Canis lupus familiaris: one gene and its partners. The protein of the gene in region 2 interacts with the protein of the main gene of each other region in a pairwise test. Links are inferred from orthologs where the notes say so. Each region holds a gene or a part of one and is shown on either strand. Other genes may lie near its edges.

The links. The genes of interacting proteins can lie anywhere in the genome.
Region 1: the proteins of PRKAB2 (region 2) and GRN interact in binary tests that used the Homo sapiens proteins (3 or more experiments, as listed by UniProt). The link is inferred for Canis lupus familiaris from reciprocal best matches to the Homo sapiens genes PRKAB2 and GRN.
Region 3: the proteins of PRKAB2 (region 2) and CSNK2B interact in a two-hybrid assay, tested with the Homo sapiens proteins (2 studies listed by BioGRID and IntAct). The link is inferred for Canis lupus familiaris from reciprocal best matches to the Homo sapiens genes PRKAB2 and CSNK2B.

The regions. Positions count from the first base shown.
Region 1 is NC_049230.1:18,957,430-18,961,878, forward strand, and holds the start of GRN (progranulin), read right to left. Parts: upstream 2,862-4,449; 5' UTR 2,709-2,861; exon of another isoform or gene 2,539-2,708; intron 1-2,538. UniProt on the Homo sapiens protein: Secreted protein that acts as a key regulator of lysosomal function and as a growth factor involved in inflammation, wound healing and cell proliferation. Regulates protein trafficking to lysosomes, and also the activity of lysosomal enzymes.
Region 2 is NC_049238.1:58,294,555-58,299,108, reverse strand, and holds the start of PRKAB2 (5'-AMP-activated protein kinase subunit beta-2), read left to right. Parts: upstream 1-1,676; 5' UTR 1,677-1,843; intron 1,844-1,848; exon of another isoform or gene 1,849-1,932; intron 1,933-2,124; 5' UTR 2,125-2,149; coding exon 2,150-2,305; intron 2,306-4,554. UniProt on the Homo sapiens protein: Non-catalytic subunit of AMP-activated protein kinase (AMPK), an energy sensor protein kinase that plays a key role in regulating cellular energy metabolism.
Region 3 is NC_049233.1:1,286,196-1,290,978, reverse strand, and holds the start of CSNK2B (casein kinase II subunit beta), read right to left. Parts: upstream 2,862-4,783; 5' UTR 2,772-2,861; coding exon 2,723-2,771; exon of another isoform or gene 2,644-2,722; intron 2,633-2,643; exon of another isoform or gene 2,225-2,632; intron 2,125-2,224; exon of another isoform or gene 1,972-2,124; intron 1,849-1,971; exon of another isoform or gene 1,701-1,848; intron 1,380-1,700; coding exon 1,297-1,379; intron 562-1,296; coding exon 459-561; intron 1-458. Other genes in the region: GPANK1 (G patch domain and ankyrin repeat-containing protein 1), read left to right, coding at 3,762-4,372. UniProt on the Homo sapiens protein: Regulatory subunit of casein kinase II/CK2.

The DNA of each region.
Region 1 (4,449 bases), on a different chromosome or scaffold from region 2:
GTAAAGATGTAGGCGTATGAGAGCACCAGTCTGGCTTAGTCAACAAGGCATGTGACTCTTGATCTTGACGTTGTAGATTTGAGCCCCATGCTAGGTGCAGAGAATACTTTAAAAAAAAAAAAATCTTAAAAAAAAAGATGTAAGTCTGTGAAAGGAAAATTTGTGGGGTTTGTGGGTCTGATCTGTAGGGACATGGGGCACCTCCAGGGAGTGGGTGAGGCATCAGTGGCCATGGGAGGACTGGGCTGGGGGGCAAAGAGGGAGTCCCCCTTTGAAGAAAAGCTGGGGTTCCACTTCCCCAGCCAGCCCCTCCAGAAGCCTCCCTGTGTGGGGTGGGGGAGGGGTGTCACATGATGACGTGGGAAACCAGGGTGTTGAGAAAGTTATGAAAAGGGAAGTGTGGGGATCCCTGGGTGGCGCAGTGGTTTAGCGCCTGCCTTTGGCCCAGGGAGCGATCCTGGAGACCCGGGATCGAATCCCACGTCAGGCTCCCGGTGCGTGGAGCCTGCTTCTCCCTCTGCCTGTGTCTCTGCCTCTCTCTCTCTCTGTGTAACTATCATAAATTAAAAAAAAAAAAAAGGGAAGTGTGGTAGCCCGTGGAATCTGGGCTGCCTACCCCAGAGGCCAGCCATACCTACCCCCCCAGCTGTCCCCAACCACCCAGGGAAGGGGTGCACAGGCCGGGCCAGCCTTTGAGACACCTGTGCCCTTGGGCTCCCCCAACACCACCAGGCCCTTTAAGACTCCCCAAACATACCACCCCCAAACCCTGCCGACCCCCTACCCGGAAGCTGAAACTCAGCAGTACAGGAAGAAGATCACATGCACTCACACAGCTGCACTAGCAGAAGAAACCAATCATGAGTCTCTGGGGAGTAACCTCTGACTTCCTAAATGAGTATTCCAAGCTCAGCCAGCCCTACTAGTTCAATGGGATGGGCCCAGAAGATGTTACCCTGCCTGGAGGGGCAAGACTAGTAATGTCTATTGAGCTTCAGGATGCCTGGTTGGCTCAGAAGTTGAGTGTCTGCTTTTGTCTCAGGGTGTGATCCTAGGGTCTGGGGATCGAGTCCCGCATCAGGCTCCCTGCAAGGAGCCTGCTTCTCCCTCTGCCTGTGTTTCTGCCTCTCTCTGTGTCTCATAAATAAATAAATAAATAACATCTTAAAAAAAAAAAAGTTTGTTGAGCCTTTCCCGGGCCAGTTACAATACTCTATCCTATTTTCTTTCTTTTTTGCAACAGCCATCCAAAGTACTAATTACCTTTACTTTGAGGCTCAGAGAAGTTCGGTAACATGCCCTTGTCATATATCCAGTCATGGAGATGACAGGCTTTGAGAGCTACAAAGCATACCAGACTTGGGTTCATGTCACCAGGTGGCACCATGCACAGTGCCCAGGAATGGACCCCTGAACCCCAGGAGAGTAGAGGCCTGGGGTCCAAGCAGAGGAGGGAGACAGAAGCATTTTCTGAGCAGGTGGACAAGGCAGGACAGAAATGAGAAGCACAGGGGTGCTGGATACTGCACTGGGGTGCTAGTCCTAGAATTGCCACCACTGATGGTGAGAGCCTCAAAAGTTGCTGTCTTGGGGCCTCAGTTCCCCCATGAGTCTGTGTGGACACTGCACACTGGGTGTGGCGACGACTTACACCCAGCCAGTCACTTGCATCCTTCTCTCCCTCACCTGGCTCTCTTCGCGGCCCCAGTCCCAGCTCAGAGACCGTTTCCAGGGGACACCGCCTGGCTGGTCCTATACCTTGGCCCCTTTCACCCTCTCCTCTACACTCACAGCTCCAGGCAAGACTCGTCCCGCCTACTTCTTGGGAGTCACACCTCAACCTTCCGTAGGCTGTCCCTTGTCCTGGCTTAGGCCGGAAGAGGTGCCTGTCTGCACAAATCTGGGACCACGGGGCAGTCTTTGGCATCCTAAAGTTAGGGAGTACAGCGTGTGCTTCTAGTGGATACCAATGCACAGACGCGCGCACACACTCACAACCAAGGATGACCTCTCTCCCGCCACCCCCCACTCCCAAGGTAGAGAGGGACAGGAGCCTCTCCAAGCCCCCAGCTCTGCCATCTTCCACTAGGTGGCAGCCCCCAACTCCCAGCGTCAGGAGAGAGATTCCCAAAAGGTGAGCCAACCCAACTGCGAGTGAGCAGGAAAAGTGGCCGGGAGAGGCGGAAGTTGGCTGGTCCCACCCCCCACGAGAGGAAGTACGGGAGCGGCAGACCCAACCCCCGCGTTCGGTCACCACCCCCCCGGCCCTGCTACCCTGGAGGGGGCAGGGCCACCAGCCCACTCGCAGCCCTCTGAGCTCCAGGACCAGGGCGCGCGCCTCTCTCGCTCCCAGTGCCCCGGGGACCACCCAGCACCACCAGCAGCAGCACCAGCAGCACCAGCAGCAGCACCCGGACCGGCCCGGAGCCGGCTCAAGAATGGGGTGGTCCCTGCTCTGGGGAAGGGGCTGCAGCTTCCGGAGCCGCTGGAGAGGGAGAGAGCCCCCTTCTCGTGGGGGTCACTGCAATCACTGCTTACCCCCGGCCCCCCGTAAAACTGCCTCCTGTGCATCGGAAAGCCCCAAAGGAGCTTCTCTGAGCCAGTCTTCTCTTGCCTCCCGGCTGAAACTCCAGACGAGCCTCAAGCCCTCACGTCCGCCCGGCCGAACTGCCGAGGAAGCGAGAGGTCTGCGCGGCCACCCTCCTTACCTGTGACCGGCCCCGCGCTCGCTGCGAAGCCGGGCCGGGCAGCTCGGGACTAGGGCCTGCGGCGCGACGGCCCGCCCACCTCCGTTCCCATTGGCCAGGCGTCCGGGCTGTCGCGCTCCTACTGGCTGCTGCTCGACGGTAGAGGCGGGGCCAGCCTGCAAAGCTCTGCTTTTTTTTCTTACTCAATTCGCGGTCGTCCCTCCCTTCTTCTCGCTTCCCACCCTCCCCCCTCCACTGTTTTATGGGATCATGTGATTGGAGAATCATGTGACGTCCTGGCCGGGCTCGGCCGGGCTGCGGGCGCCTGGCGGAGTCTTCCCGAGGTGGTGTGGCCCCGGAGTGCGTTGGCCGGCGAAGGGAGCTGCCCCTTAGGGGGTGCACTCCAGGGCGTTTACAGGATGTCTGCTTCTGGGTTAGGGACACCTGTGCATCCTGTTTCTTTTGTATTCAACGAACTCAGAATAAATGCTGGGCAGCCAGGCCCCGAAGGGAGGGTTGTGAGGGCAAGGATAGACAGCTCTCAGGCCCTTTCCTCAGGGTGCTCCTGGCCGGGTGTGAGTGGGTAGAGAGATGAGACAGGCTCACGTTCAATCTAATTTAAGGTGCAAGATCGTGTGCCAGGTATTAATGGATGTGTGTAGGGCAGAGGTGGAAGATTGGCTCTTGGCAGGGAGGAAAAGATTTAATTCTACCTTAAGGGCACTTTAAAAATTATTTATTTATTTATCTGAGAGAACGAGCATGAGCGGAGGGAGAGGGAGAAGCAGACTCCCTGCTGAGCAGGGAGCTGGACTGGGGCTTGATCCTAGACCCTAGGATCATGACCTGAGCCAACGGCAGATACTCAACCAAGTGAACCACCCAGGCGCCCCTTTAAGGACACCTTTTGGAGCTGAACCTGGGAGAATGTTAACTGGCAGGTGGACAGGGGTTGGCAAAGCTCCTGAGCAGGGGGTGTTAGGAAGAGCATTAGGAAACCAGATGGGAAGAGCAGCGTTGGGCAGGGATTAAATGCCAAGTACAACGTAGTGGGCTTGAGGAGCTGTTGGGTGCCTGACACGAGGCTTGGGCTGGGGGTGGGAGCATAGTGGAAGTGGCTTCCTCGTTAGAGTCAGCCTTGCCTTCCAGGAATTGAAATAACCGGTGAGGAGAGAAAGGTACTACACAGAACAGATTGGCCAGCAACAAGAGCCAGGCTGCTCCGTGCCAAAAGGCCATTTTGGCTCAGGCCAAAAATGGTTGATAGATGCACCAGGAAAGAGGAGAGGCCCAGAGAAAGCCCAGTGCCAGGCTAGGGGGACAGGCAGTGTTTGGTGGTACAGTGTGGATGGAGAGCACCACAGGCTCAACAAAGAGCTTGGGCAGAGGGGTGGCTGGGGGAGATGACAAACACCCCAATTCAGGGGTGGTGGCATTCTGTGTGTGGGAGTAGCAGGGTTGGGGAATTGTGTGTGGCAGTGGTGCTCAGCCTGGGGCTAGAGAGGGTCTGGAGAGTGTGTGAGGCTCCTGCTGAGAATCAGGACAACCCTGTACGCTAGTGACATTTGTACACAGTTTACCTCCTGAGTATCCTGAGGCAAGGGGAGGTCCCATTTATGCTTCCATTAATAAAGTATGGGCACACACATTTTTCATGAAATGTTAGGATAATCTATAAATGAACATATTAACCGCAACTGCACAGAACCATAAAAAATAAACACAGGGAAAAAAACTAGAGTGATTGATACAAGTATCCCTG
Region 2 (4,554 bases):
CTACCCTGTGGTTAGAAACCTGAATAATACACAAGATTCAATGTATTACTCCCTTCAGAGGCCTTGCTGCAGAGTGCAGTGGAAAGAATGAACGGAAGTGGTAGAGAGGGGAACAGTAGGGACCAAAAAGGAGGTAACCAGGCAGTGGAGATTTTGGAGGGAGGAGCAAAAGGTCACAGTAAAAATGTTATCCGCAACATTCTTTTTTCTGCAAACTGTCTTTGGTTAAGAACCAGAGAATCTGGGATCCCTGGGTGGCACAGTGGTTTCGTGCCTGTCTTTGGCCCAGGGCGCGATCCTGGAGACCCGGGATCGAATCCCACGTCGGGCTCCCGGTGCATGGAGCCTGCTTCTCCCTCTGCCTGTGTCTCTGCCTCTCTCTCTCTGTGTCTCTATGAATAAATAAATAAAAATCTTAAAAAAAAAAAAAAAAGAACCAGAGAATCTCTGAGTTTACTAGGGCAGAGGAAAGACAAAAGGCAGAGAAGCGAATTTGTCAAACCTAAGTGTATGGTTTTTTTTTTTTATGAAAAATAAGCTTTTCAACAAAATAAAGCTGTTCATTCAAAAAGGGTGGCCTTGTACGACGTGGCATTCCCCCATCGCTGTTTGTTTAAGTGGTATTATCTTGTTAGAAATGTAGTAAACGGTATTATACCCTTCACTGTGCAAATATTTATTAAAAGCTTACTCCGGACAAGATGCATGCAGAACAGGAAGAGGAATCAAAACTAGACTTGCTCTCTGCCAGCCTTCAAAGCAGTGCTTGACACTTTAATATGTATACACATTCCCCTGAGGATCTTGTTAAAATGCAGATTCTGATCCTGTAGGATAGAGCCTCAGATTCTACACTTCTAGCCAGCTCCCAGGTGATGGCAAAGCTGCTGGTCTGTGTCACACACATTGAGTGATAACGGTTTCCGCTAGGGAATCGGAAAAGCACATAATTATAACACAAAGAATGAATTAGTAAATACCATACACGTTCCATTAATCATCAGCAAAAACCTAGATCCGTTCCAACCCGAGGACAATCTCTGTCCTTTTCTGCTCTCACTGTTCCTTCTCTTCTTGTTGGTCTTCCTCAAATGGCATTTCTTTTGGGGTTGCTCGTTGCATTCGCGGTTTCTTAGCTCAGAATAGCTTTCTCCTCCTCTTCAGACCAGTTTCACGCATCTGTCAAGGTTTCTCGCCTAATTACTCCTTCCTCACTGGGGCCCCAGTCGAGGCTGCTCCCCACCGCAGCCAGCTGGAAGGTACCTCAAGCAGTCGCCACTACTTCCTTCTGATTCCAGGAGGAAATTCTGTTTCTAAATCCCTGGAGGAACCCACCTGTCCGGGTTGCCCAGAGAACGTTCTGTTTAACCTGAAGCCCGGTGAGGCGGGCGGCAAGGAGGCAGCGCCGCTTCTCCGGGTACGGAGCGCCTGAGGCCGGGAGGCGGCCCTGCGGTCCCTGGAGCCCGTCTGCTCCGGAAGGCCGGCCCGCGGCTGACCGCGCCAGGGTTTCTGGGTCGGGTGGGCGGAGCCCGCGCCCCGCCCCGCCCCGCCCAGCCCGAGGCCAACGCGGAGCGGGCGCCCCCGCCTGGCGCGAGAGGCTGCCCACCACCGAGGCGGCGGCGGCGGCGGCTAGAGAGGCCGCGAGCTCGGGAGCCGTCGCCGCGCGGCCGTAGGGAACGCGCGCGGGGCGGGCCTGGCGCCCCTGGCCTCGTAGCCATTTTAGGAGGAAACCCGGATCTCCAGCCCGGGGCGCGGCTTCAATTTCAATAACTTTATTGGTGGACGTAACCGCAGAACAGCCATCTCGCGAGTGGCTAGGGGAGGAGGAAGAGCATCGCGGGAGGTGACTGGGGTGGGGGCTCCCCCGGGCAGTGAACGCGGGGATGCGGGGAGTTCCCCGAAGCGGGTTTCCCCAGCGGCGGGCGTCGAGAGGCGGGTGGCGGGTGGCGGGTGGGGGGTGGGGGGCCGCGGGCGCTGCCGGAGGCCGAGGAAGGAGGGGACCCCGGGCACGGCTTCCCTGGGGCGGGGATTCCCTGGCCCGGGTCCCCAGGCGCAGGGGCGGAGCGGGGGGCGTCCCTGACGCGGCCGCCGGGTGTTAAAGCCCCGCGTGGTTCGCCCCGGCAGGTGGCCCCCGACTCGAGCTACAGCCATGGGAAACACCACCAGCGACCGGGTGGCTGGCGAGCGCCACGGCGCCAAGGCTTCTCGCGCCGAGGGCGCCGGCGGCCACGCGCCGGGCAAGGAGCACAAGATCATGGTGGGGAGTACGGACGACCCCAGCGTCTTCAGCCTGCCGGACCCCAAGGTGAGTCTCCCCGCGCGCGCCCCGGCGGCCCAGCCCCCCTCCCCTTCCGGGCTCCTCCTCATCCCACCGACCTACGTTACGGTTTTCTGAATTAAAGGGATGGGGCTGGGGAGGGGGGGGGGGGGGGGGGGACGGAGATGTTGGAGGGTAACTGACGCCTGCGGCGCTGCCTCGAAATACTATAGAGGCGGGGTTTCTGTCGTTCGCCTGACCTGCTGGCCATATTTTTACGATGGGGACTGTAGAGTCGTCCCCCCCCCCCCCCCACAACGCCACACACACACACACACCCATCCCCGGTTTTCCGAACAGGCAGGAGCCCTCTTGGAGAGTAGTGATGAGTTTATGGGTTGTAAACCCTATAGACCCTGGTAGAAAACTTCAAAGACGGTAGGTTGCCTGAGTGGCTGATCATCTGAGACAGTTTCTCAGGTTTACCCTGAGGTAGGCAAACGAATTTCTTTTTTTCTGATAACCTGTAGGTATCAGTATCATTTTTGCTCCTCTAAGAACCCAGCACTTCGGATCCTCTTCCCCTTTGGCAGGATTGTGAGCAGCAGCCACTTGCCTATTTGATACTTTCTCCTCGTCTTGGAGATCAGTACAGGACTTCCTTTGGCTGACTGCTCAGTTGTTCATCTCATCCTTTATATTGCGGTTGGCTGAGGTGCTTCCTTCTTCACACCCAGCTACTGGTCAACTGGGAGAGCAAACGATCCAGGATTTCTCCTCTTCCAGTAGGAATTCGTGATGTTACCATCGCTGAAAACGGACAACCCGCAGCTGCCGGGCAGGCAGACCTTGCTCTCAAATCCAAGGACTTCCAGAAAAGCGGCAACTTGTGCCCACCCGTAGATTAGATGGAGTTGACTGCAATGGGATTACCATCCGAATATTTCTAGTCCCATTTAGAGCTGTCAGCATGAAATAACAATAATCCCTCCAGGCAGTCCGAGTGGGAGGAAGTAGAAAAAATGGAGGGATTGAGGAGATTCAGGTGTGTTTGATGTTTTTTTTTTTTTTATCACTTCAAACCTTTCACCAAATTGGGGTTTTAGGGAGTAAAGAAATGATTTGCCCCATTGGTAGCACATGAAATTTGGATTCTGTTTATTTTCTTGAATCCCAGTTGAAAACATAACTACAGAAAAAGAAGTGAAGGTGGTTAAAAGCACCATCTTGGGGTTTCGTCTCCATTCCTTTCTTCCTTCTCCCACTTTAGAACTTCTTTCTCAGCATTTGGGCCATCTAGCCAGTCATTTTGAATTTCCTTAGAAGCTTTCTCAAGGTGATCCACCTCCTAATTTTACCCTTTTCCTATGTCAATGACTCAGGATTTAAGTACAGTGTATTTGTCAAACTCTGACTGCAATAATTGGTGTGCTGAATAAAAGCCAGGTTGCTCCATCTGAAATGGAGCCTATTTTGGTTCCTTCCTTCCCTAACCCCAGTCTTGCCATTTGTGAGTAAGAAAATTGGTTCAGATAATTCCTAAGGTCTCTTATACATGTAAAATTTTATAGTTCTCAATCTAGTCTCTTTACTTCTTCCTTCATTGTTTTACTTAAATATTTTCAAACTGTAGTTCTCATTGTTTTGCCTCTTTTCATAATGATTTTGCTGACAATTTAACTTGGAGTAAATGGTCTTTCTGCTAGTCAGCTGCACTCAGGCCTGCCACGGAAATGTCATGTCATATGTGGAAGGGCTTTCTTCCAAAGCCGGGCATGTTAATAGTTTGTAGCTTTCAAATTCGAAATTGAAAATACTAAATCATCAAAGTGACTCATAGAAACAGTGGCAGTGGGGTCAACATTGCTTCAAATGCCAGTCCTCTTCAGTGGACTAGGTCAGTGGTTCTCAACCCTGTTTGCACATTAGAATCACCTAAAATTTGTTTAAACACTGTATGGAAAATTAGAGACATTTTCCATGTTTCAAAGTAGTTAGAGTAGTATAGTAAACTCCTATATACCCATCACCCAGTTTAAACAATGATTAAATTTGAACAAATTTATGTCATGCCTATGCCAGTCCACTTCCCCCTACCAAATATTTTGAAACAAATTCCAGACATCCTATCAAATATTATTTTATCTGTAAATATTTTAGGATGTATCTGTAAAGTTGAGGTTTTTTCCTTTGTTTAACATAATCACAGTAATAATATTCTCTGTGAAGCTTTTTAAAAACAGGTTCCTAGGTCCCATATGTAAACCAGAATCTGAGTTATTCTTAGGCATATGTAA
Region 3 (4,783 bases), on a different chromosome or scaffold from region 2:
CATCACCTGGGCATTTGACCCAGAAACCTGGGCCTCTGGCCCTTCCACCCACCCACCCAAGGCAGCTCTGCCTTCTCTCTATACCTCTTCAGCCTTTACTCTCTTCTCTCCCTCCCAACTCTCTCAACACATAAATGAAAAAGATCAACATAGAAGCTGGAACTCTAGACTGAAAGGTGCAAGGCAAGACAGGTAAGCAGGAAATGAGATCCATGAGGAAACTAACATTAAGGGAGAGAGCCAAGTTACAGGATCAGAGTGTAGAATGAGGCTGTCACAAATCCAGGCAAAAGTCAGATGAGAGAGCAAAATAAAGTACAGAACTTAGGACAAAAGCAATCAGAGAACCAAAAGGAAATTTAGAAATTCAAGAAGCAGATCAACAGGAATTTGGGAGAAAAAAGAAAAACCACACACACACACACACACACACAAAGATAACCCCGAGGATGCCTCACCAGGCTCCAGGTCCAAGATCATGTCTAGAGCTTGTCGATAGTGAGGCACCTGCTCATTGAGTCCAGTGAGATTGAATTTATCCTGGATGTAGTCTTCATCCACCTGTCAGGATGTGGAAGTCAAGAAGAAACCCATAGCAGAATCCTCAGCTTTGATCTGGGCACATTGCTCTAATTGGTGCCTTGTTTCCAACACAACTGCTTCTGTTTTCCCTAATTCCCCACACCAACTCAGCAGAAATCCTTGAGTCTCTCTCCCCAGTTCACATACACTGCCTTCCCATAAAAGCTCTGGCTTTTCTTTCCTAAGGATAAGCAGCTACAACAATCTCTTCCTTAACGAGACACTCCTTTTAAAATCCCTGTTCCTATTCTTGATCCCATCTCTACAGACCAGTTTTGTCCTCTCCTTACCGGCAGCTAGAACTCTAAGAAAAGCAGCGACTAAACAGCTTGGGTCCTGTGGGCAGTTATAATCCATTATATCATTAGCACAAAACTTTGCCTGTTACAAAACATTTTGATAAACGGCATTTTAATCCTAATAGGCTCCCAAATTAAGCACTACTAGTACAAGCCTAGCAATAATAATAAGAATAACAGTAGTAGTAGTAGTAGTAATAAAGTTGACTTTTCCAATATTACACCGCTGGACAGTAACAGGCTTGGGATGGGCAAGTCTTGCCACTTCACAAATTAGTGAGGGGAGTTACTGAAGGGACTCTTCCTTGACAGGAAAAAGTTTCTATGACAGCCTGTAAGAGAAGTAGAAGCTAAATATGTGGAAAAACATACAGCCAAACTTTGTGCGGACATAGCTGGGAGATTGAGAACTCACTTCACAAAAGAATTCATTGCCACGGAGCCCACAGAACCAGGATATCCAAGACACCTCCTCTGAGCTGCTCATCTTCACGTCAGCTGGGAAAAAAAAAAAAAAGAGGGTAAACAAAGGCCAAGCTCCCCCACCCTGTCTCTGGTACCTTCCCTCCTCCCCACACTCTGCTCCCCGACCATGGAAGAATTTGGAGCCCCCTTTTCTTAAAGGATCCTAGACCCTGGCGCACCTGCCTCCAATTCCTCTTATTCACTAGAGGCTCTTTGGAGTCCCACCACTTCTGAAAAACCGACAGGTCTAGGCTCACCCGTCCTACCCACACCCCTAACAATCCCGAAAACCAGCACCCTCTCCTCTTTACGTCAAGTCCCTCCCTCGCAGGGCTCTCGGCTCGAGATCCCTACCCCGCAGGTCTCCGCATGTCCCCGACACCTTTCCCAAGGGTTCCGAAGTTTATCCTTTCCAAGCAAAAGCCAGGACCCTTTCCCCTCACGACCTGGAGGTGGCCCTGGGTCCCTCTCACAGGAGTCCCCACACCCCGCCTCTCAGGCCAACCCTCCCTCCCCCGGTGCCGGACCGGGTCACTTCCTTCCCCACCCCCACACCAACGCGCGGAGACCCCATGTGCCGCGCCTAAGGACGGAAGACTCGATGCGGCAACGACCTCAGACTCACCGGCTGGGCGGGGACCGGGACCGGGACCGGGGTGGGGGAGGGGAGTTGCTGCTTCCAAAGAACCGCGACGGCTACAGCGCAGGCCGCGGACCCGACCGCGGCAGGCGAAGTAGCGAGGGGGGGGGGGCGGGGGGCGGTGTGTGTGGAAATTGGGGAGGGTGGGGAGAGGGCAACGCGCAAGCGCCAAGGGTCGGGCGCCGCAGTGAACGCCGGGAAATGGAGTCCCAGGTAAAGAGAAACTGGCGAAGCGAAGAACAGGCGAACTACGAATCCCAGGATGACCCACGAACGACCCTGGCGTCGCGAGGCCCAGGAACAAGACGCTCGGGGGTGGGGAGCAGCGGGATACCACCGGAAGCGGAAGCGCAGTACCCCGTTCTGGGCCAGGGAGTATGGGAAATAGAGTCGTAGGGTCGCGCAACTGAGGGGCCGGGAGGGGGCGGGGAAGGAACGGGGCTGGAGGGCTGGATTCCTGCAACTCCCCTCACACAGCGAGGCTCTGCCCCAGGTGTTTGCCGGCAGCCCAGGGTGCTGACCTCGTCCCCGACTACCCCACCGGGTCCTTGTTGCCTGCGGAGCCTCTCGCCAGAGTCAGGCCCGCCACTGGAGGCCCCACCCGGGCCGGTGCTTCACCCCGGGGTCTAGTCTCCTCAGGCGGGAGGTGAGGCCGGGCTCCTTGCTTGCGGGACGTGGGAAGAGTGGGCTGGGCTGAGGTGAGCGGTGTGAGAATTGGGACGGCCTGTGCGCTAACCTGAAGTGGCGCCAGCCATTCTGCTGCTCGTCCCCTTGCACTTTTCCATCTCCTCTCAGAGCTTGAATGGGGCCTTCTGCTGCGGGCACTAAGTGTGACCTTCGAACCCTGCTCAGAATAATGGTGAGGGGTGGCGTGACGTTATTTCACTTCACGGCTTCGGGGCATTCCACAGGTTTCCTCCCGCCTTCTCAGAGCCCTCCTTAACTCGGTGGTTTCGCAGGTCCAAAAACTGCGCTCGGAGTGGGGGGCCACGTTCCGGGAGGCGAAGGGCATTGTGGGGCGTTATGTAGAAGTAGGACCCCAACCGACAGAGCCTCTGTCCTCGCGCTGCCTGGGCACGTGGCATCCTGGAGGGTCCCACCGTGCGAAGGCTCAGCCTGGCGCTTCGCACACGCCCGCACCCTCAAGTTCTGCTTTGTGGTGGTTGATTTTTTTTTCAGTCACACATGTGTGTCTGGGTCGTGTGGCTATTGGACTGGCAGCACCTTTGCTTAGATAAAATTTTTGTGGTACAGAGACCCTGTGGGGTCTCCACAGAGACTGGAGTTTCTCCCCCAAATCTTCTTCTTGCATCCGGAGAAGGTTAAAAGTCTGTTTTTGTTTGGAAAGACCCTACCCTGACATAGGATCAAGGAAGATTTAAAGGGCTAGGCTGATTGTTTTCTTAACTGCACGTCTTACCTGGTGATCAAGTAGTTTGAGAGAGAAGCTGTTTTTACTTATTGGTGAGGATAGGGATGGGCCTCTGGGCAATTCTCATTAAATCTTTGTTAAGTTAACCTTTACGAGGGATATGGGCTGTTATTGTATGGCTCCCTGTTTTTCCACATGACCTATGGTCCTTAGGCCCTGTAGGGTCCTAGGTTGTGGGGTCACTTAGAGTATAAGACGGGTTTTTGACTTGGAAAAGGCTACTTTTCCTCATCCCAGCAGATCTGTGGAGGTGGTTCTGGTCAGTGCAGAGCCACCAAGGGATTGGCTTGCTTGTCTCATACGCCCTTTAATTAGTCTCATTGTCTCAGTTCTCCCAAAAGCCATGTCCAGGCCCTCCCTCATCACCTTCACCCCGGCCACCAACCCCAGTGACCTCTGGAAAGATGGGCAGCAGCAGTCACAGCCTGAAGAGCTGGAGCCCACCCTGAATGGGGCTGCAGCCCGGGCTTTCTATGAGGCCCTGATTGCAGAAGAGAGCAGCATCCCTGCATCCCAGAGATCTCAGCCTGAACCTGACAGGAAAAGAAAGAGGAAGAAGAGAAGAATGATGGGGGAAGCTGCTGTAGGAGCCTCAGCAGGACATGGACAAAGGAGATCCCTTGAGGCAGAGGACAAGATGACCCATTGGATACTGAGGGCAGCCCAGGAGGGTGACCTAGCAGAACTAAGAAGGCTCTTGGATCCCCACGAGGCAGGGGGAGCGGGGGGCAATATCAATGCTCGGGATGCCTTCTGGTGGACCCCCCTGATGTGTGCTGCTCGAGCAGGCCAGGGGGCTGCTGTGCGCTATCTCCTGGGCCGTGGAGCTGCCTGGGTGGGTGTCTGTGAGCTGGGTGGCAAGGATGCTGCTCAGCTGGCTGAAGAAGCGGGTTTTCCTGAGGTGGCGCGCATGGTCCGAGAGAGCCACGGAGAGACGAGGAATCCAGAGAACCGGTGAGAGGAAGCCTTAACCCATGCCCATCTTTCAGTGTGTTCTGCCCTTCCTAGTCCCTCCATGCCAGAGGCTCCGGAACAGACTCAAAGATTCTCTCCCTGATCCCCAGTGTAGGTTGATATGGCAATGGAATCGAGTAGTAGTAAATGTGAGCTCCCTGTTTTTTTTGTGTGTGTGTTTTTTTAAGATTTTTATTTATTTATTCATGAGAGACACAGAGAGAGAGAGAGAGGCAGAGGGAGAAGCAGGCTCCCTGCAGGGAGCCCGATGTGGAACTCATCCAAGGTCTCCAGGATCACACCCTGGGCCAAAGGCAGGCGCTCAACCGCTGAGCCACCCAGGTGTCCCAGCTCCCTGGGTTTAAATTCTGATTCTACTTACTTGGTCAAGCAACCTAATTTTTATGTGCC